Pelodiscus sinensis: one gene and its partners. The protein of the gene in region 2 purifies or fractionates together with the protein of the main gene of each other region. This does not show direct contact. Links are inferred from orthologs where the notes say so. Each region holds a gene or a part of one and is shown on either strand. Other genes may lie near its edges.

Region 1 (8,174 bases), on a different chromosome or scaffold from region 2:
GCTTTACTCTGCTTTGCTCCCTGTCCCCCTGGTCTGCAGACCAGGGGGACGGGGAGCAAAGCGGCGGAAGACGCGGGCAGCGGGCAGCCCAGACGCGTCTGGGCTGCCCGCCGCCCGCGTCTTCCGCCGCTTTGCTCTGCTTTGCTCCCGCTCCCCCTGGCAGGGGGACGGGGAGCAAAGCAGAGCACAGCCGCGGAGCACGCGGGCGGCGGACAGCCCAGATGCGTCTGGGCTGACCGCTGCCCGCGTGTTCTGCCACTTTGCTCCCCATCCCCCTGGTCTGCAGACGCAGACCAGGGGGACGGGGAGCAAAACAGAGCAAAGCCCCGGAGCACGCGGGCAGCGGACAGCCCAGATGCGTCTGGGCTGACCGCTGCCCGCGTGTTCTGCCACTTTGCTCCCCATCCCCCTGGTCTGCAGACCAGGGGGACGGGGAGCAAAGCAGAGCAAAGCCGCGGAGCCCGAGGGCAGCAGGACAGCCACGGCGCATCTGGGCTGTCCCGCTGCCCCCGTGCTCCGCGGCTTTGCTACGGACGCCTGTGGTACAGCAGCTGGGGCGCTGCCGGTTGGTCCCGTAGCGCCGCTCTGGGCACTACGGGACCAACCCAGCAGCACCCCAGCTGCTCTGCCCCAGGCGTCCTGATTCAGACACTGCTGGTCAGTTTCAGCAGTGGCTGAATCAGGACACCTGGGGCAGAGCAGCTTGGGTGCTGCTGGGTTGGTCACGCGGCGGCGCTACTGGACCAACCCAGCAGCACCCCAGCTGCTCTGCCCCAGGCGTCCCCAAGTCAGCCGCTGCTGAAACTGACCAGTGGCTGACTACAGGAAGCCCCTGCCCGGGGCTTCCTGGAATCAGCTGCTGGTCAGTTTCAGCAGCGGCTGACTTGGGGATGCCTGGGGTTCTTAAGTTGAATCTGTATGTAAGTCAGAACTGGCGTCCAGATTCAGCCACTGTTGAAACTGATCAGTTTCAGCAGCGGCTGAATCTGGACGCCAGTTCCGACTTACATTCAGATTCAACTTAAGAACAAACCTATAGTCCCTATCTTGTACGTAACCCGGGGACTGCCTGTACTTGTAGTTCTATTTTAATGTAATTTAATAGCTGGAAACCAGGAGAGTAGCACATGGTGACCAGCCAGCTCTTTGTGGACTACAGACATAGGCACCAATCCCAGCCCCCAGATCACCCACTCAAGAAAAAAGTGGGTGTTCCTCCCCTTCCCATCCTCCAAAATCTGTTCAGTGGTGTGTATGAGGTGCTGGGGAGGGGGGTGAGGAGCAGGAGGGGTGCACTCAGAGGAGGGATGGGGCAGGAAGAGCTGGGGACTTGCAGGAAGAGGTGGAGTGGGGGAGGAGGATTGGGGCACAGTGGGGATTGAGCCCACCATGGAAACTGGGGAATTTGGTGCCTCTGATCACAGACTACATTTTGAGACCCTATGGTCTAGAAGTATACGTAGATTAACAGAGACTGGAGTCACAAGGGACTACTATGATAATCTAATCTGACCTCCCACAAAACACAGCTCATAGAATGTCCCCATTAAGTCCTATCTGAACTAGAGCATACCTTCTAGGAAACTATCCAGTCTTAATTTTAAAATGGCTACTGATGGGGTACGTCTACACTGCAACACTATTTTGAAATAACTAGCTCTATTCCAAAATAACTTAGTCTGCATCTACACAGTAGGCAGTAATTTCAAAATAGTGTCAAAATACTGTAAAGCTGGAGGAGGACTTCTTACTCCAACTCCAGTAACCCTCCTTGTAAGAGGAATAAGGGAAATTGGAGGAAGTGTGCTCTATTTTGAAATAAGTGCTGTGTAGATGCTCCCTATTTTGAAATAAATTGCTCAATTTGCATAGCTTATTTCAAATTAAGCCCTGCAGGGTAGATGTACCCATGGAGAAGCCATCACAATCTGTGCTACACTATTCCAGCATTCAAGTCTGAGGGCAGGTCTACACTACTGCTTGTGTTGATATATTTTTATGTTGTTCAGGGGAGTGAAAAAGCCACCCCCAAGAGAGACCAATTACACCAACACAGCACTGTTGGCAAGAAGTGCCCTCCCACCAACACAGCTACTTACTTTTCAAGAAGGTGGGGTAATGATGTCAATGGGAAAGCTCTCTCCTAGTCGCACAGAGCCTATTCACTAAAAATGCTGCTTTGGTGCAGCTGCACCACTATAACGCTTCTAGGGCAGCACAGCCCCAAATTTGGCAAGTTTAAGAGCCAATGGTTGTATAGTTGGTTTCCCTTTGCTTGTTACACTAAAGAGCCTAGTATCAAATATTTGTTCCCCTTCGGGGTGCTTACACTCTGTGGCTTAAATCACCCCTTCACTTTGCCTTTATTAAGGCTAAACAGATGGTGCTCAAGTCAACGAGCGCAATTTGGGATCTTTTTCGACCCTTTGCTCATTTCCACTGACCTGCTCCAAAATTTCTCTGGCAAAATGTCCAGTCTGGAGGCTCTGACTTGGGGCTTTCGAGGGGTCATTTAAAGTCTCTGCCTCTGTGCCCGAGCAGCACCTCTCCGCTAGCTAGTGCTGTGCTCTCCCCCGCAGTGTCGCGATAGGAGGGTAACTGGGGGAGACCCGAAGGGCCGTGACGGGCAAGTCGGACTAGGTCGAAGGGCCCCGCAGGCGGCGGAAGTGCTGTGGCGGCCCCGGGTTAGGCTGCACGAGGCGCTGCACGGGCGAGTCACGCCCGGAACAAATCGCCCCGCCGCGGCGCCACGAACCCGGCCCCTCCGCCGCCCCCGGTCGGAGCTGATCCGCGCGGGGCCGAACCGCGGAGGGAGACGGTCTGGGCGCCGGACAGGTCAGCGACACTTCCCCCCCCGCCCCCCACTCACGTTGGCGCGCTTAGCCGCTTGCATCGCCATGGTGCCGGGCGGGTCGGGGGCCTTCGCCTAGCCGGGAAACAACGGACGCGTCCGTCTCCAACAGGGGGGGCAGGCCCGGATGCTATCCCAGCCTGCACCGCGGGCTCAGCCCGCGCGCAGGAAGTGACGAGTGCTAACCGGATGAGAGGAAACAAACCTGACAGTTGGGGGCGGGAAGTGACGAGGGGAGTCATGTGACTTTGCCGTTTGCGGGGCGATGATAACTGCCTCCTGCAGAGGCCGCTCCCCCAGTGGCGGTGCCGTTAGTTAGAACGGGGGCGGGGCAACCTGCGGGGGCGGGGTCCGCGCGTGTTTCCCGCGTCCACGCGCAGGGAGGCCGATGCGGCCCGGGCAGTTTTTTCCTCCGGGCGTTACGGAAGTGACCCCGCGCAAAGCCAGGCCACGCGAGGGGGGAGCCGCGTGCTCCCTCTGCAGCCGCGCTAAGCGCTGCTAGTTCGCTCGGCACCGCCTGTGCTGGCTCGGCCTGCAAGCGCCCTTAGCAACAGCGCCCTAGCCTGGAGACGTGCGGCCCACTCCTCCTGGCTTCCCCTCACTGCTCCTACCCAGCTCACTAGTGCCCCCCTCCCCATCGTACCCTCCTCCAGTGCTCCTCCCCCCCAACACCTGACCCACTCGTGCCATTCCACCCCATGGTTCCTCCCCAGGGGTGACCCGTGATTATAGGCCGACTCGGCCGTCACCTAGGGCGCCCCCTTCAACGGGGTGCCCGATGATATCACTCCATTGACGGCCGTGCAGCCAGGGGCGTTGATCGCACATTGCACTTAGGGCATGCCAGTTACAAGATCATGCCTAACCATGCCAGTTACAAGATCAAGAACACATATTCCTGTTCATTCAGAAATATAATTTATGCCATCATGTGCCTAAAGTGTCTGTCTGCTATGTACATTGGACAGACGGCTCAGACACTTCGCCAAAGAATCAATGCACACAAAACAGACATAAGACTCTCTCACAGAGAGAAAGCTGTTGCTTGCCATTTCAGCCAGACTGATCATTCCTTTAATAACCTTAAAACATGCATAGTGCTTCAAAGAGACTTTAACTCCAGACTTCAATGAGAAGCTTCAGAATTGTCTTTCATGCTTAAAGTTGACACTTTATGTATGGGTTTAAACAAAGACTCTAATTATCTCACCCATTACAAAGATAGCTTCCCCAATTATCACCCTTATGTCATTACCTCACAGAAACTAACCTTCCCCCCTCACCCTCACTCTATTCTAAAATTTGATTTGTCAATTTCACATGCGTTCATTTTTTTGATTGTATCACTTTGGTATATATGGTTGTGCCGATTTTCTTCCACATATTGATCTGAGGAAGTGGGTTTGGCCCACGAAAGCTCATCACCTAATAAACCATCTTGTTAGTCTTTAAAGTGCTACATAGTTCTGTCTTTTGTTTAATCCATCTTAGGTTTTGTGTAAGTATGATAACCCATCAGTTCTTACCACAGCACTGTTCAAAACAGCATAAAGAACCATACATGCCAGTCTGAGACTAGAGAAATGTGTATCTTACTTCAGTTCACTTCTAACTAACTTCCCAACATTCAACCCTTTCTGAACTGGGTTAGAAGTTTTGTCCTAGCTGCTGTTGTTGATTGACATCAAGGAAACTAAACTCCTCTTGATTTATACACTTCCCTCCCCTCCAGGATTTTCTTCTCAGTGCTGCCGCTTGCTGCCATTACTCTCCACAAAATACATCATTTAATCTATCAATTTTAATGTTATACTCTGCTGGATCTGTATATCCTAAATTGGTACACGCATCATTCTTGTATGTGAACTTAGAAATATGAAGTGTGAGTCTATTTATAGTTTTATATGTGCTAATGAGAGCTGTTTCTAGTGCCCTGGAAGCCTAATGACTAGTGATCAACTCAATGGTTTGTAAAAAGCCTGGCTTGTCCTGTAAGTGCAAAGGCGGTTGGACTAGAAAGACCTGTAACCTTGACACCTGGTACTGGAAATCCATTCTGAACCTGGATTTTTTCCATGGGAAGAGTGGATACCCTGAGGAAAAGTCAATTTAAGAAATGGGAAGCAATTCCCTTTTGTCTACTGCCTGGCACTCCCCAAAAAAGGGCTGGGGACCCAAGTATGAGAAAAAGAATTTGTCATTGACTTGAAGATTATGCCTAAAATAAGAGCATCTCTTTAGGGTAAGAGTGTACGTGCAATAAGTTTCTTGGTGAATTAGAACTAGCTATATCTTTTCATTTAAATGTAGTACCTTACTTTGATCTGGCTGTTTTCACTTGCACCATTTAAATCCTACTCTTTATACTTAATAAACAACTTTTGTTTACTATCTGGCCCAGTGTATATAATTGTTACCTGGAGAGAACAACCACTGTGCTTATCTCTCTTTCATTGATAAAGGGAGCTTACTTGATGGCTACGTCTTCACTGTGAGTTCTTCCGGCAGAAAATGTGCTAATGAGGGACTCATTAGCATAAGTCACAATCTCATTAGCATATTTTCTGCCCTTTCTTTTTGCACAAGGGCTTTTTGCACAAAAAGAAGCAAGTGTGGATGGGGTTTTTTTTGGCACAAACCCCCCCATTTTGCACAAGATCCTTATGCATCCTAAAGCTTCAGAGGGGTAGCCAAGTTAGTCTGTAACAGGAAAAATTAAAACAAACAAACAAATAGTCTAGTAGCAACTTAAAGATTAACAAAACATGTACATAGTATCATGACCTTTCATGGGCACAACCCACTTCTTCAGATGACTGGAGTGTTGGAAGTCCCTCCCTCCGGGACTATCTAAGAGGTAACAGTTTCAGAGTACAGATGGTCAAAGAAGGGAAGAAGCCAAAAGACTCAGGGGTGCCAAGGTACCATTCCCTCTGTCTTGCAGGTATAAATTATTTCATTTTTACATGTACAGGGGCACTGAATACCCTGAGCAGGCATTAGAAGAAATGGAATATTTAATGAAAGGCAACAGTAAAGCTTTTAGAGAAATCAAAAAAGCTTAGAATATTGCAGAATAATGGATATTGTTTTGCTTGCTTAGATGTACTTCATTACAAACTGGTCTTCTAACGCACCAGTCTTCATAAGCTTGATCAATTTTAAGTTGTTTTCAGATTCAGTTTTCCTTATCTCTGAAATATTCCGCTATGGGGGGAAAAACAAAACATTTTCTTTTAAAATATTTACAATAATGGAAATGCTCCAGTTTAAAGACATACAATTGCCACAAGAATCACATTAGCCCTTTTTTGCCCCAGCATGACACTGGGAGCTGATGTTAAGTTACTTGTTTACTATAACCTCCACATCCTTTTCAGAGTTCGTTCTTTCCAGAATACAATACTGGAATGTACTATAATTGAATGAAAGGCATCATAATCTAGCTCACATATTAGCATTTGCATCTGAATACATAAAATATTGGAATACCTATAGTTATTGAGTATTAGCAACTCCAAATATAGCTTCAGTGTGTCATTTGAAATAAACAGAATCTTTATTATATAAGTTTGTGGCCTTAAGAACCCTAAATACTGCTCCTTCAGATCAGCGAACTGCAAAAACTTTAAAGATAATCATATGCAGAAATCTCTCCTGGAATTACATAATGCTACTTTGTTTTCTCTGGAGGAAAAGATTAAACATAATAACAAAAGGGCAGGCCAATCCCCACCCTCGGCCGCCAAATCCCTAAGGGTGTGTCTACACAGCAGGGTTTAATTTGAAATAAGATACACAAAATGAGTGACATCAATTGCATAGCTTATTTCAAAATAGCTTATTTCAAGTTCTGGTACTGTCTATAAGCACTTATTTCAAAATAGAGCATTCTTCCTCTGACTTCTCTTACTCCTTATAAAATGAGGGTTACAGGAGTTGGAGTAAGAAGTCCTCCAGCTTGACAGTATTTTGACATTATATTGAAATAACTTCTAGCTGTGTAGACGCAGACTATGTTATTTCGAAATAATGTTAGTTATTTTGAAATAATGTTGCTGTGTAGACATAGCCTAAGAATCTGACCTAGCAAACACAAGCTAAGTCTACACTGCAATCTCAGATGTGACTATAGCTTGAGGGGACACACCTGGATGTACTAGCTTTAATTTAGCTAGAAGTGAAGCTGTAGCAATTCAGGTTTCAGCACAGAAGTCTGCGAGTAGTTATCCATGGTTCTGGGCAAGTTTGTACAGCCCATCCTGAAGCACACATTGTTGCCACTTGATATATCTACTCCAGCTGCAATCACAGCTATGATTGCAAAACAAGCATACTCTGTGGGCTTGGCTTCATTAAAATATTACAGCATCATAGCTGAGCCACTGTAGTGTTTCAGTGTAGACGTTACCTATGCTGATGGGATTCTGGGAGGGAGTCTCCCATTGGCATTAGTAATCCATATTCTGGAGAAACAGTAGCTAGACTGATAGAAGAATTCTCCTGTCAACATAACACTGTCTACAGAGACTTAGTTTGGCTTAATTAGGGTTGAATGAAGTTTTATTGACCTAATTTTCTAGTGTTGACTAGGCCTTAGACATGTGACTTCACTCAGGTCACTAGTCCCATTAAAGCCAATGTGACTGCTTGTGAGAAATTTACTCATGTATGCAAATGTTTACAGGAGCAGGCTCCAAAGATTGTATAAACTGGCATTTTTGGAGAAATCTCCCATCTCTGCCCTTCTATCTGAGGTAGCAGTGGTCGGAGAGTTAGTGGAGATAGGGCTTCTGTATGTAACGCTGTGTCATCTAGACTAACTCTGGGTTAAGATGACATAGGGTACATCTACACTGCACCGTTATTTCGAGATATCTAGCGTTATTTCAAAATTCCACACAGCCATTCTGCTATTTCGAAATAATTTTGAAATAACAGATGGCTTATTCCAAAATCTGTAAACCTCATTCTACGAGGAATAAAGCCTATTCCGAAATAGCTACATCAAAATAAGACATGTTTAGTGGTATGTCTACACTACAGTGTTATTTCGAAATACCTTATTTCGAAATAGTTATTTCAAAATATCTTATTTCAAAATAACACATCTAGAAATAACACGTCTAGACACAAAATGCATTTCAAAATAGCGCGTTCACACTGATTGGATGCTGAATCACATTTAAGGCCAGCCGAAACCAATTCTGGTAGGGCATCAGGTCAGGAGTTACCTTGTGTAGCTGCTGCCTGAGGCTATCTGAGCCCTGTGCTTAAAGGGACATAAGAACATAAGAATGGCCGTACTGGGTCAGACCAAAGG
Region 2 (7,256 bases):
TGACCCTCTGAAAAATTAACTATAGTTGGATGTACTATACTTGTTCCTAGAAAATATTTACTGTACCAGTACATAGTTTAGTACCTCAAGGTAACAGCACTGTCTCTTGCTGCAAAAGAGGTAATTTATTAATTTATCAGAAAAGCTATAAATAAGGTATTTAATTAAAACACTTTAAATAGAAACTGTGCCTTTTACAAATCTTTGTTTCAACTAGAAGTGCCCTCATCTTCGTCTCTGGAATTTCCACAATATGCTGTTGATACAAATAAAATTGCCTCAAAACAGTTCAGTGGTCAGACATAGCAACTACAACAACAATTGTTATACTTACATATGTAAAAAGCCAAGAATAATTAGTGACTTTTTGACTTGCAAGCTGAAGATTCCCTCTACTTCATATTACTTTGAATTTCAATTTGCAAATTTCAAATGGTGCAACAAAAATAATCCTAATATTCTCACCTAAAAGTGAAAGGCCAACTCATATCTTCAGGAACACTTCTATTCTCCCTTTAAATTTGGGGGGCAACACAAACTCTTCATACAGTGTACCAGGCTGCCTCATATTATTCAGGAGAATTGCAAGAATATGCAGAGTTCCTGAAGAGAGTTTGTGGTCAATTACTTTCCCCCACAGCATCTTATATGCATCTCAGACTGCTGCTGGCCATTCCTCCCTTTAACAAAATAGATGACTAGGTACAGGAGTGTCTACCTGTACCACTGTATTTTTTTTATAACCAGCTTAAGTTAGCATGTAGTAGCTTTATTTTTTGCACATTCTAGGATGAAGATTGTTTTTAAAAGTAGCTGTGCAACCAGGCAAAGGCCAATAATCCTTGTTCTTATGAGAAAAGGCCCACAAAAGCTCTAATTTACTATATCTTAATCCTCCATTAATTGTATGATTCCCGAGGTGACCAGCAAGAATCTCTGACACCATTAATATGTTGTTTAATTTGTCTTTTAGAAGAGATCTAAAATCTACAATACTTTGTGTCATCGTTACCCTCACTCTCCCTCTCTAGTGCCTCTGGTTGTTTGTTTCAAAAATTAGTTCCATTTTATCTTAATTCATGCACTAAACCTAAAATGAGCTTTTAGAAGATGCCTCAGGGCCTTGGATTATAACTCTTTTATCCACCACCTGTTTCATGCTATCCTTTTGACCAACACCATCATAATGAGAGTTATGTGACTGAAGCCTGTGTACTTATATAAGAGCATAATATAAAAAAAGCTTAAAACCTAATTTTAAATGAAAGCTTACATTTTACAGAAACTGATGTCTTCTTATGTCTTCACACTACCTAGTTACTTAGTTACAACTCAAAAGACATTTGTTTTCAGGGTTAGAAGCAATGTATTCAGTTGTGGGGAAGGGAAGTCCATTGGGATGCTGCAGAAGTGGCTAGGACTTAAAAATAGATATTTGATTGGAGGGAGAGTTTGAAAGAAGAACATCCCTTGACAATGAAACGCTTTCAATAAGCCTACTCCTAGGATCAGACTTATTAATGAGACCACATACAGCAGCATGAGATAGGGTAATTTTTTTCGTAAATAAAGACCAGGAGCCCTCATGCTTTAAAGCATGTACCAGTCACCAATGGACATCGACTAGGATGAAATTTTCCCTAAAGGAAAAGGCACTATTCTGTAAACGTTTACTTTGACATTTCTTGCCTCTGTCTCTGAAGCTTTCATTATTAACTTTCACAGATGGAATACTGGATTAGACAGACCAATGATTTGAACTAGCACAGCAATTCCCATGAATATGTGGTCATTTTCAATCATTCCATTTAACTTTAACTGTTGTCCACACTCCAACAAGAAAAATCTTTAGAATTATATTTTTGATTTCAGAATGTAAATGCTTCAACCCAAAGGTAAACTAATTTAATTACCCTCAATTTTTTGTTGTTCAATATCCATAGCCCCCCTCCCCCATCAATTTTCAGTGCAAGTTAAAAACAAAAATAAATTTAGAAGTAATTAAATTCACCCCTAGGTCGCCCACCATTGCTTCCTGCGTTTGTGATTTTAAGATTATGTTTATAAATGCTTTCCCACTCTTTCTGTCCACCTCTAGAAAAACTCACACAAAGGAGTGATTGATAACACGGGGAACAATGAAACTCACTAGGCATAAAATGCATGTAGAGGCGGACAGAGAACACACACAAAAGAATACCTTTGCCGTCCCCCTTCACCCCACCCCCGCCAACTTCAACAATCGTAACCGTTATCTGTAAACAGCAACTTGAAAAGCTGTAGTCAGAAGTTGCGGAGATCACTCTAATTTACTGAAGGAAGACGGTCGGCGTAGGGCCGAACACTATGATCTGGTTCAGGCCTTGTCAGAATTTTAAAAAAAACACTAGAAATACTGGTCCCTGCTCAGCGCTGCACTGGGAGTCGGGTTCACGGGACTATTCTCGCCCGGGATGCGGGGCCGCGGCGGGAGCTCAGTGACCCGAGGAGTCGGGTAACCGATGGGGTTCCCAACTGCACGGACACACGGCACATCTCGGCTGCTAATCGGAGCCTACCCCGGCAAGATTTCCGATTCCTGCGCGGAAAGGCACAGGGGCCGGTTCCCTGCCACTCTCACGCAGCTCGCCCGGTACCCGCTGCCTCCACCACGTCCCCCGCCCCGCACCGGGACTCCCGGCTTTTAAACGGGACGGACGGAGCCTCCCAAGACTGTAGGAAGCCGCCGGGCTCTTGGGCCGCCCCTCCCCCCACAAGCGCGACGAGGAGACGCGCCTGCCTAGCGCTTTCGCCATGGGGCCTGCGTGCCGCGCCCGGCCGGCTCCGAGCCCCGCCGGTCCGGTCCCCCCCCCGCGCCTCGGCCAGGCCCAGCACTGCAGGGAGCGAGTCTGCCGCCGAGGCACAAAGCGGATTAGGCAGGAACCGCTCCAAGAGGGAGAGAGACCAGCCCCCGCCCCCAGGCCGCGCGGCCAGGCCCGGGCCCTAGCCCCGGCGCCCCTCACCCGTCAGCCGTAGCGCGCTTCTTGCTGGAGGTGTAGTCGTCCCCCAGGTCTAGGCGGTGGCGCTTGGACATGGTGCCGGCGGCGGCGGGGACTCCGGGCGCGGATGGGTGCTACGGCTCCGCGCTCTCCGCTCCTCGAGCAGCAGCGGCGGCAGCGCCGCGAGGCCAAGAACAGCAACTAAAATGGCGGCCGGAAGGAAGCCTCGATCCGCGCGAGACACTGAGCGAGCCACTTCGAAGAGGGGGAGGCGGTGCAGCCACGCCGAGCCCGGCTGGGAACCTTCCCCCGCGCGCCTCGGTCCGGCCAGCGGATCGCCCCCTAGAATTCTATTGCCACCCAGGGAGAGGGCCGGAGTCACAACGTGAGGCGGTGCCAGCGGGAAAAGGGGGTGTGGGCGGAGGCGGAAAGAGCTAGTGCTGTAGATGGGACAGCCCGGGCACTGCCCTGGGCCGTAGCAGGAGCAGTTCCCCTCACCCCAGAGAGGTGGTGCTCTGAGTTGGAACCAGATTGAGACTATGGCTCGCCCACCTATAGCCTGTCCAGGTGCAGGCAGATTGCTTAGAAGAGCACAACTAGGCCTGGGACGCATCTCGGTTGCCCCATGCTTTTAGCGCCTTCCAGTAGACTGTGTTGTTTCAGTGTCATTGCTTTGGTGACATGGCTTTTTGACTTGCTGTAATGGCTGACTTAGCCTGGCTCCATAAAGACCTAACGCAATGGACTTGTTACCTGTGTCCATCATAACTGTACACATGATGGAACTTTAAATCTTTGTAGGATTGGGGCCATAACTACCTGCCCTTCAGCAACACTAGCTCAGCGCAACTGTACGTTTGTGCACACACAGTGTTTCAACTGATGTCAGAGCAGGACAGACATCAGAACCTACCCCAGTGTAAAGTATCAGTAAGACATATCCCAAAAGTTAGGAACACAAATATATCTTATAAGGCCCCCTAAAACAAAGACAAATCCTTCCAGAAGGATGGTGGTTTCAGAAGGGAACTGACAAACTTGTGAGATCAGAATTCAGTTCCTGGTTCTGCCACTTTCTTGTGATTAGTTGTCTTGTCTCATCTATTTAAGACTTTAACAAGTAATATCTACATAAGTTATGGTTTGACTTTAAACCACTATTACTATACAGCTATAACTTCCCATGCAGACACTCATAACGTGTTTTTGTTTAAGCTAAACAAAAACAAAAAGCCCTCTTATTTTCAGAATAAGAATGTCCAAACAGGAAGTTATACCAACATAACTGTACTGGTACAACTTTTTCCAGTAGACAAGTCCTTGGAGCATAAGTTCTTCAGGACAGGAATTGTCTTCTACATGTATCTATGAGGGATATGAAAGATTTATTGGTTCCGGTTAATGCGTGGGGGCTGAAGAAGCTCCGCTCACCTCAGGCGGGTGGCTGCTACAGCCCCATAGGGCACGCTTGAAGACAAGGGCTGCTCTGGCTGCCCAAAGCAGCTCCTGTGCACAGTGGGGCCCGGGTGCATTGCAGGCAGGGGCTACTCTGGCTGGGCTGAAGCCTGCAATGATGGGGAGGGGCTGCTCCAGCCCAGTCTCAGCCTCCCAACCTTTCCTCCTTTAATCAGTTAACCTGTTAAACATCACATTTAACCGGTTAACCAATTAAATAGGATTTTACATTCTCAGTTTCTACAGTATGTAAAACAGCCAGACCCATATCTCAGTTGGGCAGAAGTCCAGGTTCTACTGTAATACAAATAATAGACATCTTTTTATTTGGCAGTCCCAAAGATCTGTTAGGCTTTAATTTGGAGAGACTGGATTTTGAGCTTTGTAGTGGCTAGGCAGGAATGAGTATTGAGGCAATACTTTAAACTTATACACAGCATTGGGATATCTATTTCGTGAATCATGGTAATGTAGCCTTATATGGGCATGGCTCTATTCCAAATTTTGACCTGGTAAAGGCCATTTTAGCATTATCATTATTTATTTACATTGTGGTAGCACTTAAATATCCCAACCCCATTGTGCTATGCACTAAATAAACAAATAATAAATATGCAGTCCCAGTCCAAACAGTTTACTATCTAATTCCTTGATTCTGCAAACCTGTGCATCTGCAAGTAATCCAAATGGACTACTCAGAATGGTAAAGCGGAGTACATTCATTAGTGTCTCCAGGATCAATGTCTAAATATAAGGTGAAAAACAACAGGTAGCAAGAGCAATCAGATGGGGGAGCACAAAGTAACAATGGGACAAAACTGACCAATGAGAAGCATCTTGCCACAACTCTGGGAGATGCAATACAGAACCACGGAGTTAGGAACACCAGAGTTACAAATTGACTAGTCAATAACACACCTCATTTGGAACAAGAAGGATGCAATCAGACAAACACACACACAATGCAAATACAGTACAGTACTGTATTAAATGTAAGCTATTCAAAAAAGGGAAAGCAGCATTTTTCTTGTGCATAGTAAAATTTCAAAGTGTATTAAGTCAAAGTCCAGTTGTGAACTTTTGAAAGAATAACCATCATGTTTTGTTCAGAGTTATGAACAACCTCTACTGCTGAGCTCAGACGTTTTGTTGTACATATGCACAAAATGGAACACAGTATCATACTGTTATCAAAAGATTTGAAACCAATTATATTAAGTCAATGAGCTTGCCTAAAACCACTGCTTTTAATTAAAAACCTTTTATCCTTAATTTATCTATTCCAGTAATTATGGTTGTGGTCTGCCCTAAAAGAATTTCCAGGAAAAGCCAGTCCCTTGCAAGGATATGGATACAGCATTCTGATGAAGAATATCATAAACAAGAATAATATTTATTTAGAAATGAGTGGTTACAGCATAAGAGTAGAGATATAGATAATAGGGTTACAGTTAAAAAGTGAATGAAGCCGCACAGCAAATAAAGACACGCTACAATAACACTTTCAATTCTAACGAAACATGTAGATGGTATCATGAGTTTTTGTGGGCACAACCCACTTCTTCAGGTGTCATCTTTTTTGGTCTTTAAGATGCTACTAGACTTGTCATTGTTTTTTAAGATTTCCTGTTAAAGACTAACTCAGCTGCCCCTCTGAAACTTTCACTCCTATAACTTACAACAATATAAACCTTCACTTAATGCTCTCTACCTTATAACAATGTAACAATATATGAATTAAATATTCAACATTAAAACTAAGTGTCAAGTCAGTGCTGGCCTGGAATTTATTATATGGACAGGAAAAGATCTTACTCAAACCACAGTCACTTTATTTACAAACGAAGGCCATATGCTTTAGGATGTTAAATGGACAACGCTTTTATCTTACAGAGGATTTTTAAGATTCCTTCTGAGACAATTTAAAGGTCCTTCTGTTCTGTCACAAACTTTGAGAGCATTGTCCAATGGCTGCAGACTGCTGTAATCTCTGCAGTTGTCTCTTTATTGGGTGCCTGTCTGCTCCTCTGGTAAATCAGCCTATCTGGTAGCAGATACAGAAGCCTGCTTGGTTGCTGCACTGGTGGATACTATGAGGGCCTTCTGCTGACTGGGTGGTAGAAGCAGCCATTGTCCGGTGCAAATTGCTGCTACTGCTTTTGTAGTAGTTGTTTTTTGCAAGCAACTCTTTCTTTGCAGGGTTCTGATGTTGCTTCTTAGTTGGTTTCTTTTATGTAATCATCTTCTGACAGGTGTACAGCACTGTTCTGCTCTATGAGATTTTGCTGAGCCAGCCCCACAGGAAGTGATGCAATAGTGTGCCTTGATTGCATCACCTGATAATGATGCAATCTTGTCACCCATTTGCATCATCCTTATACATTTCTACGGTTTTCCATATATTCTTATGGGGTTTTTCTAGCTGTTCTATTGATGACTTGAGCTACTTCCTGTCATTCCCTTGAGAAAGTTGAATTTACCATTACATCACAGGAAGTGAATTATTACATCATAAACAATGGATCCCTATGTCTTTTAGAAATGAAATCTCCCACTATATTACAGCACCCTTAGGCAGTGACACTGATACAGTTTTTGGAGTAGAGGTGCTGAGTTCCCCCTCCTCTTACTCCTTTCTGCGCCACTCACCACTCTGCATGCAGGGCTGGCAGTGGAACCCCTGGGAACAGCAGTTGAGGTGGTCTTGAGGGTGGCAGTGGAGCTTCTGGACAGCAGTGGACCTGGTGGACAGGACCCTGGGCAGCAGTGGTGTGGGGGTGGCAACAGGGTCATCAGGCACAAAACCTGGGGATGCTGCAGCAC
Region 3 (7,752 bases), on a different chromosome or scaffold from region 2:
CCGTGTCAGCGCCTCGCGCCGGCCGAACCCCCCCCCCCGTGTCAGCGCCTCGCGCCGGCCGAACCCCCCCCCGTGTAAGCGCCTCGCGCCGGCCAAACCCCCCCCCCCGTGTCAGCGCCTCGCGCCGGCCGAACCCCCCCCCCGTGTCAGCGCCTCGCGCCGGCCGAACTCCCCCCCCCGTGTCAGCGCCTCGCGCCGGCCGAACCCCCCCCCCCGTGTCAGCGCCTCGCGCCCCCCCCGTGTCACCGCCTCGCGCCGGCCCAACCCCCCCCCCGTGTCAGCGCCTCGCGCCGGCCGAACCCCCCCCCGTGTCAGCGCCTCGCGCCGGCCGAACCCCCCCCGTGTAAGCGCCTCGCGCCGGCCGAACCCCCCCCCCCCCGTGTCAGCGCCTCGCGCCGGCCGAACCCCCCCCCCCCGTGTCAGCGCCTCGCGCCGGCCGAACCCCCCCCCCCCGTGTCAGCGCCTCGCGCCGGCCGAACCCCCCCCCGTGTAAGCGCCTCGCGCCGGCCAAACCCCCCCCCCGTGTCAGCGCCTCGCGCCGGCCGAACCCCCCCCCCGTGTCAGCGCCTCGCGCCGGCCGAACCCCCCCCCCCCCGTGTCAGCGCCTCGCGCCGGCCGAACCCCCCCCCCCGTGTCAGCGCCTCGCGCCGGCCGAACTCCCCCCCCCCGTGTCAGCGCCTCGCGCCGGCCGAACCCCCCCCCCCCGTGTCAGCGCCTCGCGCCGGCCGAACCCCCCCCCCCGTGTCACCGCCTCGCGCCGGCCGAACCCCCCCCCCCGTGTCACCGCCTCGCGCCGGCCGAACCCCCCCCCCCGTGTCAGCGCCTCGCGCCGGCCGAACCCCCCCCCCGTGTCAGCGCCTCGCGCCGGCCCAACCCCCCCCCGTGTCAGCGCCTCGCGCCGGCCGAACCCCCCCCCCGTGTCACCGCCTCGCGCCGGCCGAACCCCCCCCCCCCGTGTCACCGCCTCGCGCCGGCCGAACCCCCCCCCCGTGTCAGCGCCTCGCGCCGGCCGAACCCCCCCCCCGTGTCAGCGCCTCGCGCCGGCCCAACCCCCCCCCCGTGTCAGCGCCTCGCGCCGGCCCAACCCCCCCCCCGTGTCACTGCCTCGCGCCGGCCGAACCCCCCCCCCGTATCACCGCCTCGCGCCGGCCCAACCCCCCCCCCGTATCACCGCCTCGCGCCGGCCGAGCCCCCCCCGTGTCACCGCCTCGCGCCGGCCGAACCCCCCCCCCGTGTCACCGCCTCGCGCCGGCCGAACCCCCCCCCGTGTCACCGCCTCGCGCCGGCCGAACCCCCCCCGTGTCACCGCCTCGCGCCGGCCGAACCCCCCCCCCGTGTCACCGCCTCGCGCCGGCCGAACCCCCCCCCCCCGTGTCACCGCCTCGCGCCGGCCGAACCCCCCCCCCGTGTCACCGCCTCGCGCCGGCCCAACCCCCCCGTGTCAGCGCCTCGCGCCGGCCCAACCCCCCCCCCGTGTCACCGCCTCGCGCCGGCCCAACCCCCCCCCGTGACACCGCCTCGCGCCGGCCCAACCCCCCCCCGTGTCACCGCCTCGCGCCGGCCCAACCCCCCCCGTGTCACCGCCTCGCGCCGGCCCAACCCCCCCCCCGTGTCACCGCCTCGCGCCGGCCCAACCCCCCCCCCGTGTCACCGCCTCGCGCCGGCCCAACCCCCCCCCCGTGTCAGCGCCTCGCGCCGGCCGAACCCCCCCCCGTGTCAGCGCCTCGCGCCGGCCGAACCCCCCCCCGTGTCAGCGCCTCGCGCCGGCCGAACCCCCCCCCCGTGTCAGCGCCTCGCGCCGGCCGAACCCCCCCCCGTGTCAGCGCCTCGCGCCGGCCCAACCCCCCCCCCGTGTCAGCGCCTCGCGCCGGCCCAACCCCCCCCCCCGTGTCACCGCCTCGCGCCGGCCAAACCCCCCCCCCCGTGTCACCGCCTCGCGCCGGCCAAACCCCCCCCGTGTCACCGCCTCGCGCCGGCCGAACCCCCCCCCCCGTGTCACCGCCTCGCGCCGGCCGAACCCCCCCCCCGTATCACTGCCTCGCGCCGGCCGAACCCCCCCCCGTGTCACCGCCTCGCGCCGGCCGAACCTCCCCCGTGTCACCGCCTCGCGCCGGCCGAACCCCCCCCCCCGTGTCACCGCCTCGCGCCGGCCGAACCCCCCCCGTGTCACCGCCTCGCGCCGGCCGAACCCCCCCCCGTGTCACCGCCTCGCGCCGGCCGAACCCCCCCCACCGTATCACCGCCTCGCGCCGGCCGAACCCCCCCCCCGTGTCACCGCCTCGCGCCGGCCGAACCCCCCCCCCGTGTCACCGCCTCGCGCCGGCCGAACCCCCCCCCGTGTCACCGCCTCGCGCCGGCCCAACCCCCCCGTGTCAGCGCCTCGCGCCGGCCCAACCCCCCCCCCGTGTCACCGCCTCGCGCCGGCCCAACCCCCCCCCGTGACACCGCCTCGCGCCGTCCTAACCCCCCCCCGTGTCACCGCCTCGCGCCGGCCCAACCCCCCCCCGTGTCACCCGCCTCGCGCCGGCCCAACCCCCCCCCCCCCGTGTCACCGCCTCGCGCCGGCCCAACCCCCCCCCCCGTGTCACCGCCTCGCGCCGGCCCAACCCCCCCCCCCGTGTCAGCGCCTCGCGCCGGCCGAACCCCCCCCCGTGTCAGCGCCTCGCGCCGGCCGAACCCCCCCCCCGTGTCAGCGCCTCGCGCCGGCCGAACCCCCCCCCCGTGTCAGCGCCTCGCGCCGGCCGAACCCCCCCCCGTGTCAGCGCCTCGCGCCGGCCGAACCCCCCCCCCCCGTGTCAGCGCCTCGCGCCGGCCGAACCCCCCCCCGTGTCAGCGCCTCGCGCCGGCCGAACCCCCCCCCCCCGTGTCAGCGCCTCGCGCCGGCCGAACCCCCCCCCCGTGTGAGCGCCTCGCGCCGGCCGAACTCCCCCCCCCCGTGTCAGCGCCTCGCGCCGGCCGAACCCCCCCCCCGTGTCACCGCCTCGCGCCGGCCGAACCCCCCCCCCGTGTCACCGCCTCGCGCCGGCCGAACCCCCCCCCCGTGTCAGCGCCTCGCGCCGGCCGAAACCCCCCCCCCGTGTCAGCGCCTCGCGCCGGCCGAACCCCCCCCCCCGTGTCAGCGCCTCGCGCCGGCCGAACCCCCCCCCCCCGTGTCAGCGCCTCGCGCCGGCCCAACCCCCCCCCCGTGTCACCGCCTCGCGCCGGCCAAACCCCCCCCCGTGTCACTGCCTCGCGCCGGCCAAACCCCCCCCGTGTCACCGCCTCGCGCCGGCCGAACCCCCCCCCGTGTCACTGCCTCGCGCCGGCCGAACCCCCCCCCCGTATCACTGCCTCGCGCCGGCCGAACCCCCCCCCGTGTCACCGCCTCGCGCCGGCCGAACCCCCCCCCCCGTGTCACCGCCTCGCGCCGGCCGAACCCCCCCCCCCGTGTCACCGCCTCGCGCCGGCCGAACCCCCCCCCCCGGTGTCACCCGCCTCGCGCCGGCCGAACCCCCCCCCCCCGTGTCACCGCCTCGCGCCGGCCGAACCCCCCCCCCGTGTCACCGCCTCGCGCCGGCCGAACCCCCCCCCCGTGTCACCGCCTCGCGCCGGCCGAACCCCCCCCCCGTGTCAGTGCCTCGCGCCGGCCGAACCCCCCCCCCGTGTCACCGCCTCGCGCCGGCCGAACCCCCCCCCGTGTCACCGCCTCGCGCCGGCCCAACCCCCCCGTGTCAGCGCCTCGCGCCGGCCCAACCCCCCCCCCGTGTCAGCGCCTCGCGCCGTCCTAACCCCCCCCCCGTGTCACCGCCTCGCGCCGGCCCAACCCCCCCCCGTGTCACCGCCTCGCGCCGGCCCAACCCCCCCCCGTGTCACCGCCTCGCGCCGGCCCAACCCCCCCCCCCGTGTCAGCGCCTCGCGCCGGCCAAACCCCCCCCCCCGTGTCAGCGCCTCGCGCCGGCCAAACCCCCCCCGTGTCAGCGCCTCGCGCCGGCCAAACCCCCCCCGTGTCAGCGCCTCGCGCCGGCCAAACCCCCCCCCCCCGTGTCAGCGCCTCGCGCCGGCCAAACCCCCCCCCCCCCGTGTCAGCGCCTCGCGCCGGCCAAACCCCCACCCCCCGTGTCACCGCCTCACGCCGGCCAAACCCCCCCCCCGTGTCACCGCCTCGCGCCGGCCTAACCTCCCCCCCCGTGTCACCGCCTCGCGCCGGCCGAACCCCCCCCCGTGTCACCGCCTCGCGCCGGCCCAACCCCCCCCCGTGTCACCGCCTCGCGCCGGCCGAACCCCCCCCCCGTGTCACCGCCTCGCGCCGGCCGAACCCCCCCCCCCCGTGTCACCGCCTCGCGCCGGCCGAACCCCCCCCCCCCCCGTGTCACCGCCTCGCGCCGGCCGAACCCCCCCCCCCCCGTGTCAGCGCCTCGCGCCGGCCCAACCCCCCCCCCCGTGTCACCGCCTCGCGCCGGCCCAACATCCCCCCCCCCCGTGTCAGCACCTCGCGGCGGCCGAACCCCGCCCCCCCGTGTCAGCGCCTCGCGCCCCCCCCGTGTCAGCGCCTCACGCCGGCCGAACCCCCCCTCGTGTCAGCCCCTCGCGCCGGCCGAACCCCCCCCCCCTTTCTCCATGTCACTGCCTTGTACCGTATGATTTCTCCACCCCAGTGTCACCTCCTTGCTTTGTCCAAGCTTCCTCCCTCCAGGTCACCAGCTAAGTACTCTTCACCCTGTTTTGGGCTTGCACTCACTGATTCATCCCCCCCACCATTCTTCCTGTCACTGCCTTATGCCAGCTGAGACCTCTCCCTCTCTCTCTCCCTCCCCCCATTTTGCTGCCTTGCCCTGGTGTGTCATGGCTGCCTGTGCTTTGTCTCACTTGCTCCTGTGTGCTACTGGCTGTGCCATGTCATCCCCTTCACACCTTGGTCCTTGTGTCACCCACCACCTCACTAGCCATGCCTCCTGCTCTCCTTACCTTCACACCCATCCCATGTCACCCTCTTGCACTGTCTATGCCCCCTACTTTTGTTGCCAGCCCTCTCTGGATCCACCCCCTGACCAGCTGCTTGCTCCAACTCTCCCAGGCCATCATGTCAATGTCCCATCTCTATGGCAAAGATGACGACGACGACGTGGAGATGGAGAACTTTGAAATCACAGACTGGGACCTGCAGAATGAGTTCAACCCCAACCGCCAGCGCCACTGGCAGACAAAGGAGGAGGCCACCTATGGCGTGTGGGCTGAGCATGACTCGGATGATGAGAGGCCCAGCTTTGGAGGCAAACGGTACAGGCAGTTACCAGTGTCTTGCAAACTCTGGCAGTACTGTGAACAGCAAGAATCTTCTGTTAGTGGTTAGCATAGCCGATAAGCTAAAATAATAGTCCAAAGGAGATATCAGTTCCTTTATGTAGCACTATTGGATTTTTCACTTTCTGGAGGTTTTCTTTTCTCTGTCCATTTGCAAAGAACTACTGGGGAGATGCCTTTATACATTCTATAGAATATTTGATTATGTAAGTTTTTCTGACACTAACTCAGTCACTTGATGTATAGTGCTAGCTTCAAAAGGCTTAGTCTCTTGGAAACACTTTGTGCTACTGTGGCCAATTTGAGATTGTAATGGCTTTGAAAGGTATCTGTGGGAGCAGTGAGGGGTTACTATTTAGTTCAGCATGTTATCAAATAGATTGAATTTTTCATGTATAGTTTGGTTCCGAGATTCATTTCCTTATTGCCAAGTTCATGAAGAAGATCAACATTGTGCTAAGTTACAACTCATTAGAGAGTCTTGCATGCACATGCAAAACCAACACTTTCTATGACTGAAATACAAAAGTTTGAATTTAACAGCTTTTAAATGTTATTTCTTAACATTGCGTTTATTTTGGGACCAGTAATGATTGCATTAAGGTGTCTGAGTGTATGCATTTCAAGTTCAAATTCAATGGAACAGTGGAACAATAGCATGACTCTGAAATCCCTTTTTTGTGTAGCTCTCGTGACTATTCCGCCCCCGTTAACTTCATCAGTGCGGGGCTAAGGAAAGCTGCAGCTGAGGAAGTGATAGAAGAAGATTCAGATGAAGATGAGAAGCCCATTAAGCAAGAAGAACTCCCTAAAGAGTTTGTACCAAAGAAGTTAAAAACAGTGAGTTACTCATGAAAGTTTGAAACTTATAACAATTATTTATGGAGTGCCAACCACAGTATGGTCTAGATACTGCTTTAGTAACACATCAGCTGAGAAGGGAGGACAGTGGCTGAGTAAGATCACAGAACTGTTTGTGACACTGGTTTGCCGTGGGGGGAAAGAATATCCCTTGGCTTTTCTTTATGTGTTTTCATGGATTGTGTTAGGTTCTCGGGAGCTCATCTTTTCCCCAGGCCTCTTAAGCCTCTTCTCTTCATTGATAATCATTTTGAGTTGAATGAAGTTGAAGTAAATTAATGACCCAGTTTTGCTTCCACCCATCAATGATAAATATTTTTGTAATTATTTCTTTTTACAGTACTGAATGTGGCTGGCATGAGCAAATTGCCAATTAAATGGATTAAGAATCAAAACCCATTTTTCAACTGTTGAAAAGCAAAATATCAGGAACCAACTTGTATCTGCTCATGATAGTGTGTTATAGATCAGACCATAATAGGAGCAGGGCTACAAATCCCCAACTCTAGCAGTGGCTTGGGGGTGCTCTGACAGAGCAGCGCAGACTGCAGGCTGGTGGGGCTCCTCAGAGGAGATCCCCTCTTGAGGCAGCCAGGAGCTTGGTGATTATATCACTTACCTGTTGTTTTTTCTTTTCTCTGAACAGGGTGGCAATTTCAAACCCAGCCAGAAAGGATTTGTAGGTGGGACCAAATCTTTCATGGACTTTGGCAGCTGGGAGAGACACACCAAAGGAATAGGGCAGAAGCTTCTTCAGAAAATGGGTTATGTTCCTGGTAGAGGGCTTGGAAAGAATGCTCAAGGTACTGTGTGTTTTCCCCAAGAGTGTGGGTCCAAGATGGGGATTCTTTAAGGAAACTGCAACCTTGAGACACTGAATAACTTGGTTTTGTTTTCCCACCTCTTCTTCAGCCAATTCAGATCTTCAAGATTAAATCCAATTATATTAGTTTTAAATAATTACAGCAGTAATTAGAATGAAATTGTGAAGTCTACTACCCATGTCAGTCTCTGATTATTTAGTATGAGGAGACAGAAGGAGGAAGATTAAATTAACTCACTGTCAGGGTGGTTAAATACTGGATTAAATTTCTTACGGAGGTTGTGGAATCTCCATCACCAAAGGTATTTAAGAGTAGGATAAATAGGCATCTGTCAGGGACAATTTAGATGGTGTTTGGTCCTGTCATGAGGGCAGGGGACTGGATTTTATAACCTCTTGAGATCCATTCCAATTTTAGCATTCTATGATTAAAAGACAGTCAACTTGTAACCAAAGGAAATGCTATTTTGTGCAGTGTATTGCTGAGCTATAGAATTCATTGGAGTCGGAGGTCAGAGGAACATGCTATAACAGGATTTTTAAAAGTACCTGAATATATTAGGGCCACATATAAAAATGTGTAACTGTACAAAATCCTATCACTGCTGAAGACAGAATGCCAGACTGGATGATCTGTGCTACTCAGAAATCTCTCTTTTTCCTCCAGAAACCTATCCACAGCTTTTCTTAGTCAAATGTTTAGAGTCCCCTTCACTAACTATTCTAAAATTCCCTAGGTATCATCAATCCCATTGAGGCCAAGCAAAGGAAAGGCAAAGGAGCCCTGG
Region 4 (7,569 bases), on a different chromosome or scaffold from region 2:
AAGTAAACAATTTTTAATAATATATTGTGACATTTGCATTTTTTATATTTGATTTTATAAGTAACTTTAAGTGAAGTGAAGGTGGGGGTTTGCAGGATAAATCAGATTCCTGAAAGAGATACAATAGTCTGGAAGGTTGAGAGCCACTGTTTTCAAGTTTCAGAAGGGTAGCCATGTTAGTCTGTTTAGCAAAAACCATGAGGCATCTTTAAGGTACCACAGGAGTCCTCGTAGTTTTTGCTGATTTAAAGGTTGCTCTATGTCACTCATTAGCAAACTGATTGTAGAGATGGCCTAATGGAAGCAGTTAAGTGTTGAAATTCAACAGAGTCACTTTCTCTTCTGTCATCTTCAAAGTATAGATTCCAGAGCAGATTTTGAATAAGGTAGTAATCAATTCTCCTGCTACCAAATTTCCAAATATATGCTAACTGGGCATCTCTCACCTGACCCACCCCCCAAGTTTTGTGCCCTAATTTCTTCTGTAGCCAGCATCCTATCTCTCATGGCAATAGACCGAGTCTCACAAGAAGCACACTGGTTACTATGCAGAGGCAGGGATACAGGATCACATTCAGCACTTTCACAGAAACAGCACTACCGTACCGAACACAATGGTTTGACCACGGCCTTTGGCAGTTTCACAGGTGATTTCATTTTCCTGGCTACTTTCACATATTTTTCTCTATTACAAGATTATGCATTTTTGCCTGGGATATTTAATACACTCACAATTGAGGTAACAATATTTGAAAGTTAACAGTCAATTAGTGGGCACGTCTATGGTCCAGATCTATGTTGTAGAAGTTGGACAGGTAACGCCATTTGAAATTCAATTATAAATTAGGGATGTAAAATCCCATTTAATTGGTTAACCAGTTAAACATTATGTTTAACTGGATAAGCACATAAAGGGAGTGCAGCGGGCTGGAACAGCACCCCAATGCAGGCAGGGGCTTCTCTGGCTGGGCTAACACAGCCCTTGCCTGTGGCACTCCCTGGGTCCGCTGCAGACGGGTGATCCACCTGGAAAAAGTAAGATGCTACACTTCACCCCAGTGATGCTTACTGGTTAACCTTTCATTTACCCAATACAAGTCACCAATTATTTGCTGTAAGTTCTGTATCTTGAACTGCCTCGTAAAATATTTTATACAAAAAACAACAAATGATATAAGAATTAATTAATAATCATAATAAACAGAAAAATACCGGACATCAACTATAAGCAAGTTGGGCAGAAACCACGTCTTCAGAAGTGTCTGTACAGAGGTGCTGCTTGAAGGGCCAAAGCACTGGTTGTGAGAGGGGCCTCAGGGAACAACTGCACTATAACGTAACAGTCATAACTAATAGCAGTTTACTGTTCACATTGCACCAATGAAGATGCTTATTTTCGAGCTGTGTAAGTGGCCACAGACATGTTAAAAGCACAGAGCTATCTAGGATTTTCAAAACATGGCACTGCCTCTACGTGGGATGCTCAGATCTGTTCCCGGAAGCCATGTCTGGAAGCTGCATCAGGTGCTACCTCATGCTTCGGAGAACAGTCACAAGTCCTGAGTGGCATTTTCAAGACAGAGGCTGGACTGGGGGCAGAGGCTGCTGTGGGCGTGGGGAAGGGATGCTGATTCTCTCTGAAAGTCAGACGCTAACGTGACCTCATATAGAATCCTAGAACTGGAAGAGACTTCAAAAGACTTCATCAAGTCCAGTCTCCTGCCCTCAGTGCAGGACCAATCACTATCTAGATCATCCCTAACAGGTGTTTGTCTAACCTGCTCTTAAATATCTTCAGAGATGGAGATTCCACAACCTCCCCAGGCAATTTATTCCAGTGTTTAACCAGCCTGACAGGTAGAAAGTTTTTCCTTATGTCCAACCTAAACCGCCCTTGCTGCAGTTTAAGCCCATTGCTTCTTGTCCTATCCTCAGAGGCCAAGGAGAACAATTTTTCTTCCTCCTCCTTGTAACACCCTTTTAGATACCTGAAAACTGCTATCATGTCCCCTCTCAGTCTTCCCTTTTCCAAACTAAACAAGCCTAATTCTTTCAATCTTCCCTCGTAGCTTGTATGTTCTAGACCTTTAATCATTTTTCTTGCTCTTCTCCGGACCTTCTCCAATTTCTCCACATCTTTCTTGAAATGCGGTGCCCAGAACTGGACACAATACTCCAGTTGAGGCCTAATCAGCGCAGAGTAGAGTGGAAGAATGATTCTTGTGTCTTGCTCTCAACACTCCTGTTCATGTTTGTTTGTTTTTGTTTTTTTTTGCAAGTGTCACACTTTGACTCATGTTTAACTTGTTGTCCACTATGACCCTTAGATTCCTTTCTGCAGTACTAATCCTTAAACAGTTGCTTCCCATTCTGCATGTATGAAACTGATTGTTCCTTCCTAATGGAGCACTTTGCATTTGTCCTAATTCAACTTCATCCCGTTTTCCTCAGACCATTTCTCTAGTTCGTCCAGATCATTTTCAGTTATGACCCTGTCCTCCAAAGCAGCTGAAACCCCTCCCAGCTTGGTATCATCTGCAAACATAATAAGCGTCCTGGCTATGCCAATATCTAAATCGTTGACGAAGGCATGTAACAGAATCGGTCCCAAAACAGACACCTGCGGAGCCCTGCTTGCGGAACAACCAAACTCTGCCAAACCCCAGGCACCTCTCCAGTTCAATGAGGGAACAAGCTTTGCACTAACACTCTACTGTCCTTAAGCCCCAACACAGGACTGGGCTCTGCTGTCACAGCACTGCAGGCTCGTCGGCCCCTCAGAATAATCCCCGCCCCGCAAGAAACCTCAGAGCCCCCCTGACCCCGCCACCTGAGCCCAGCAAGGCCTGGAGCCCCCCCCCCCCCCCCGGCCCAGCAAGGCCTGGAGCCCCCCCCCCCAGTCCAACTGCCCCCGGCCCAGCAAGGCCTGGAGCCCTCCTCCCCACTCCAACCCCCCCTCCGGCCCAGCAAGGCCTGGAGCCCCACTCCGACCCAGCAAGGCCTAAGGCACCCCCGGCCACGCACCTCACCAGCGCTCGCGGCTCCCCTCAGGCCGGCCCGCGACTGCGCACGCGCAACTCTCTCTCAGGGCGGAGGAGGCGCTTCCGGCTTCCGCGCGGCCAAGCATTTCCGGTTCGCCGGATGGGAGGGTCACGCGCGACGAAAGGCTTCCGGGCCGGGCGCTTCCGCGTTGGGGGCGGGGAGCGGCGGTTGGCGGCTCGCGCGCGGCGGGATGCGGCGGCTGTAGGGGCGCGCGGGGGCGGGGCCTCGCCATGCGCTACAACGAGCGCGAGCTGCTGGCCCTGGCCCGGCAGCCGGCCGAGAAGGCGGCGGAGATTCTCATGCGCGTGCCCAAGAAGGGCAGCGGTGAGGGGCGGCGGGGGCGGGGCGTATGAGGGCAGGGGGCGGGGCTGGAGGCGGGGTGTGTGAGGGGAGGGGGCGGGGCGTATTTGTGGGACTGGAGAGGGGAGGGGTCGGAGCGTGTGGGGGGGGCAGGATGTATGGGGATAGAATGGGGCCGGGGTGGGTCGGGTGTATGGGGTGGGGGAGGGGCGGGGCATATGTGGGAGGAGCTAGGGTGGGTCGGGGGCGGGGCGTATGGGGATAGAGTGGGGGTGGGGGAGGGGCGGGGCATATGTGGGAGGAGCTAGGGTGGATCGGGGGCGGGGCGTATGGGGATAGAGAGGGGGTGGGGCAGGGGCGGGGCATATGTGGGAGGAGCTAGGGTGGGGCAGGGGCGGGGCATATGTGGGAGGAGCTAGGGTGGGGCATATGTGGGAGGAGCTAGGGTGGGGCAGGGTGTATGGGGATAGAGTGGGGGTGGGGCAGGGGCGGGGCATATGTGGGAGGAGCTAGGGTGGGGCAGGGTGTATGGGGATAGAGTGGGGGTGGGGTGTACAGGCACTCAGGAGGGCCGGGGGAGGGTTCTATTGTGGGGCATGAGGCTCAGCTTCTTCCACTCAGGAGCCAGCTACTCCCACACCTTCCCCATTCCCCCCCCCCCCCCAACTTCAATCTGGCTCTTTGTCCTGCCTCTGTTGAGCTCCCTGCCCTGTCCCCTTCCCTGTGGGATGAGCAGGGACCACGTTGGCACTTTCTCAAAGAGGCGGTAGCTCCACTCCTGCATTCTCCTCCCCAGCGCTGGTGAGGTGGTGTATGGCACTGAGCTACCACCCTTTGTCCGCAAAGTGGCTGCCTTCCTGTGGTGGGGGATGGCATGTACAATGCACTGGTAGACCCCTACGCAGATATAAAATTGGTATCTGTATTGGCAAAAAGATGGTGGGAGATCTGCAACCACAGCTGCGGCCGCAGAGAGCTGCCACCTTGCAGGGTTTGAAGCAGCTTTCTATCCACAAAAACAAGACATGGATAGCGGCAGCCATATTCAGGGATGTGGATACCTGTGAATTTGCATTGGGATCGTACCAGCCAGGAGGTGCTACAAGAAGCATGTGTGGTTAAAGTTTTATAGGTCATCAGTGAAAGCTTAGCCAAGGCTGGCACACCTAGGATAGAATTGAGTTGCTTGAGAGGTCATCAAATTGCTGTTCAGCCTAGAATCATAGTGCTATGAACCAGTAAGAATGAAAGGTGCCTGCACCTTCCTTTGTGCGACAGGTCCAGTTTTCCATCCTACAGCTGAATGTTCCCTCTAATATTTTCTATCCTTAAGCAAAATAAATTTTGTATGCAGCAAAGCATGTACCAATGTGCACTACCAGGCCGAGACACAAGGGCTGTGGCTACACAGGCACGATCTTGCGTAAAAACTTGCTGCCTATCTACAGTGGTCACGTGTTCTTACGCAAATAAACTGATGTTCTAATGTATAAAATCAGGGCTGCTTGCGCCAGAACTCTGACGCTCCTGCTCAGGAATAAGCCCTCTTGCGCAAGAGCTCTTCCAGAAGAGGCCAGTGTAGACAGGCAACATGAATTTCCTGGGCAAGAAAGCCCTATAGTTAAAATGGCTCTCAGAGCTTTCGTGCGGAAGAGAGCATCTACACTGGCATGGATGCTCTTGTGCAAAAGCACATGCCAGTGTAGACGCTCTCTTCTGGAAGAGTTTTTGCATAAGAACGCGCCAGTGTAGATAGAGCCAAGCTGACAGCTCTGGATGCTCTGCTAAGCAGCTGGGCGGAGTATGAATCACTCCAAAGCACTCAGCTAACAGGGAACACTGCCACAGACCTCCGCTTCTGAATGCTGTCTCTCTTCTTTGCAGTGCTGAAGAAACGCCTAGTGAAGCTAGTTGTCAACTTTCTCTTCTACTTCCGCATAGATGAAGGAGAGGTATAAAAATAACTTGCTTCTGCAAACTGGCTTTATGAACTTGTTAGAGCTGTTGTAGAAAAACATATTAATAAGGCAGGTTCTATACCAAAGGGCCTAAAAACCAACCAAGAGCAGACTGCCGTTGTGCTAAGCTCTGTACTATCACAGAATCGTAGATGGTCCATGCCCTGAAACACTTACCGGTGAAGTAGTCACACTGCACTGTTTAGCTAGTGGTGTTTGAGGAACACAATGAAGCCTCTGCTTGGCGACGCTGAGAAGCAACTGCTGTCCTGCCCAGCCCTGGCTATCAGTCTAGGGGTGATCTCTGAAACCTAATCATTGCCACACTTACACGCATGGCTGCAATTCATTTATGTGAAACTAGTGAGATTGATTTTAAATTTAGACTAAGGCCCTAGCTAAATCTCAGTAAATAATAACTGTATCATTGCTTTTGAGCAAGATCTGGCAGTGTAAAAAAAAACCCCCAAAGCATTGTAATCGCTGTATTTTATCAATATTCCTTACTTGGACCTATAAGTATGCAAGCGTATTGTCTGGTTGTTGTAGCAGAGGAATGCGAGCTGGAGCCCACTGGTTCCAGAAAAGACTTTTGATCTGTCTTGGCCTTTGTTTCTCATCCTTAACAATAAAACTCACTTGCACTGTGATTGGACAGAAGATGCAGGATGAGCATGGCATGGTACTGCTGTGGCTACGCCATTTAACAGACTTGAAGAGAAGGTGCTTTCGGTGGTGTTTGTAGTGATCAGAAATACATGTGACCCTAAGGATCCTTGCACTCCCTTTGCAGAATATTTCTTCTCTCCTCCTTGTCTCCTCTGACAGTCATGATCATAGGATCTGGCCAAGAAGATGCCACACTTCACAGTCTCTTTGGGGTGATTATGAAATCATGTTAGAGCTTTGACCGCATGAGACTAGAGACCATTCCCAGTAGCAGATTTCTCTCCACTCCTGCTTACACGAGTTTGGCTGTTTTGGCTAATTTTCCTGGCAGTTAGAGACTATAAAATATTTCCCTTTGTGTTTAGCAGTAAGTGGTCCAAAAATAGTTTGGAAGCTTAGAATAGTATGTGCTGACGGGATACTTAGTCAAATAACACCTCTTAACACTGAGTTGTTCTTAAAAAAAGTCTGTGGTCTCTATTCTATTTGTTTGTCTCTTGCAGTTCATTTCGGACAAAGAAAAGAACCCTTTCTCTGGTTTTCATGCCTTAGCTCAGTGCACCCATAAATGACTCGCAAATTCTGCAGGTGAAATTTGTTTGTTTAAAATGAACTGTTTTAAAAAAACCGAATGCAGGGACAGATTTCATTAGACTTCTGCAAAGCTTCAAGCATGTTCTTTTCCAGACCTAAGTTTGGATTTCTGTTTGTGCTGTGCCTTCCAGCCAAACTTGATGTGCAGACTAGATTCTAGAGAACTTTTACCACCTTTGCCTCTTTTTGTGCAGATCACTGAGCTATTTATTAACTCTCCAGAGTTGTACTGAGCAAATACAGATGTCCAAAGCACTGTGTAAATACTAATCAACACAAAATATTTGTACAGTGAAGTATGACAGCAGAGACAAAGAAATTGGCTACCTAAAAACCGCTCTGTTTTCAACCCTCTCAGTTCTCGCCAGGTTATGACGTCTGCCCTAAAGTCCGTCCCCTGGTAGTTTGTGGCTTATCAGGATCTTCCTATCATTAAAAATATTTTTGTCTTCTTGAGCTGCCGTGAAAGACCCACTGTAGCAAACAATACATGGGAACCAGTGAAAGAGCTGTGACTAGCAAGATAGTGCACAAGAACTCAAATAGCTTAGGGAATGTCGTTTCTGCTCTAGCCTCTTGGCACTGTTGTCTCTCTCTTTCACGAGTCACTCACTGCGGCCCCCACGTCAGTCCCCGTGTTCCCTTTCCCGCCACAATGTCTCACATGTGTAGAACTGGCTGAACAAGGGGAGGGGTGTCTTAACCCTTCTCTGTGGGTTTCTTTCTAGCCAATTGGAGCTTTGCTGTTGGAGCACTGCAGAGTCACCAAAGAAGAGGAGAATGTCTTTTCGATCAGTGAGTTGTGGGAGAAGATTCTCATGGGTGTATCCTCCTCTCGGTTTCCCTTTTCAGTCAAGTAGCAGAAGGGCAAGGGGAATGTTTCTAGAGTCAGATCCTGCACCATACTGTGTGGAGTGTCCTGTCTCACGTGGGGCGGGGCAGTATGGGAAAAGGGAGACGCATAAGAAAAATTCTTGGGTGTTGTAAGAAGTGATGCTACAAAATC

The links.
Region 1: the proteins of DHX15 (region 2) and SF3B6 fractionate together in Homo sapiens (co-fractionation; 3 studies listed by BioGRID and IntAct, with this or other methods). This does not show direct contact. The link is inferred for Pelodiscus sinensis from reciprocal best matches to the Homo sapiens genes DHX15 and SF3B6.
Region 3: the proteins of DHX15 (region 2) and TFIP11 purify together in Homo sapiens (co-immunoprecipitation; 4 studies listed by BioGRID and IntAct, with this or other methods). This does not show direct contact. The link is inferred for Pelodiscus sinensis from reciprocal best matches to the Homo sapiens genes DHX15 and TFIP11.
Region 4: the proteins of DHX15 (region 2) and SF3A2 purify together in Homo sapiens (affinity purification with mass spectrometry; 4 studies listed by BioGRID and IntAct, with this or other methods). This does not show direct contact. The link is inferred for Pelodiscus sinensis from reciprocal best matches to the Homo sapiens genes DHX15 and SF3A2.

Annotation. Positions count from the first base shown.
Region 1 is NC_134713.1:14,462,134-14,470,307, reverse strand, and holds the start of SF3B6 (splicing factor 3B subunit 6), read right to left. Parts: upstream 3,031-8,174; 5' UTR 2,900-3,030; coding exon 2,870-2,899; intron 1-2,869. Other genes in the region: PFN4 (profilin-4), read right to left, coding at 6,030-6,058.
Region 2 is NC_134715.1:102,246,537-102,253,792, reverse strand, and holds the start of DHX15 (ATP-dependent RNA helicase DHX15), read right to left. Parts: upstream 3,278-7,256; 5' UTR 3,074-3,277; coding exon 3,003-3,073; intron 1-3,002.
Region 3 is NC_134725.1:39,273,562-39,281,313, reverse strand, and holds the start of TFIP11 (tuftelin-interacting protein 11), read left to right. Parts: upstream 1-4,591; 5' UTR 4,592-4,924; coding exon 4,925-5,256; intron 5,257-5,966; coding exon 5,967-6,120; intron 6,121-6,787; coding exon 6,788-6,944; intron 6,945-7,701; coding exon 7,702-7,752. UniProt on the Homo sapiens protein: Involved in pre-mRNA splicing, specifically in spliceosome disassembly during late-stage splicing events. Intron turnover seems to proceed through reactions in two lariat-intron associated complexes termed Intron Large (IL) and Intron Small (IS).
Region 4 is NC_134729.1:27,235,326-27,242,894, forward strand, and holds the start of SF3A2 (splicing factor 3A subunit 2), read right to left. Parts: upstream 3,182-7,569; 5' UTR 3,025-3,181; intron 1-3,024. Other genes in the region: PLEKHJ1 (pleckstrin homology domain-containing family J member 1), read left to right, coding at 3,273-3,366, 5,227-5,294, 7,292-7,358. UniProt on the Homo sapiens protein: Component of the 17S U2 SnRNP complex of the spliceosome, a large ribonucleoprotein complex that removes introns from transcribed pre-mRNAs.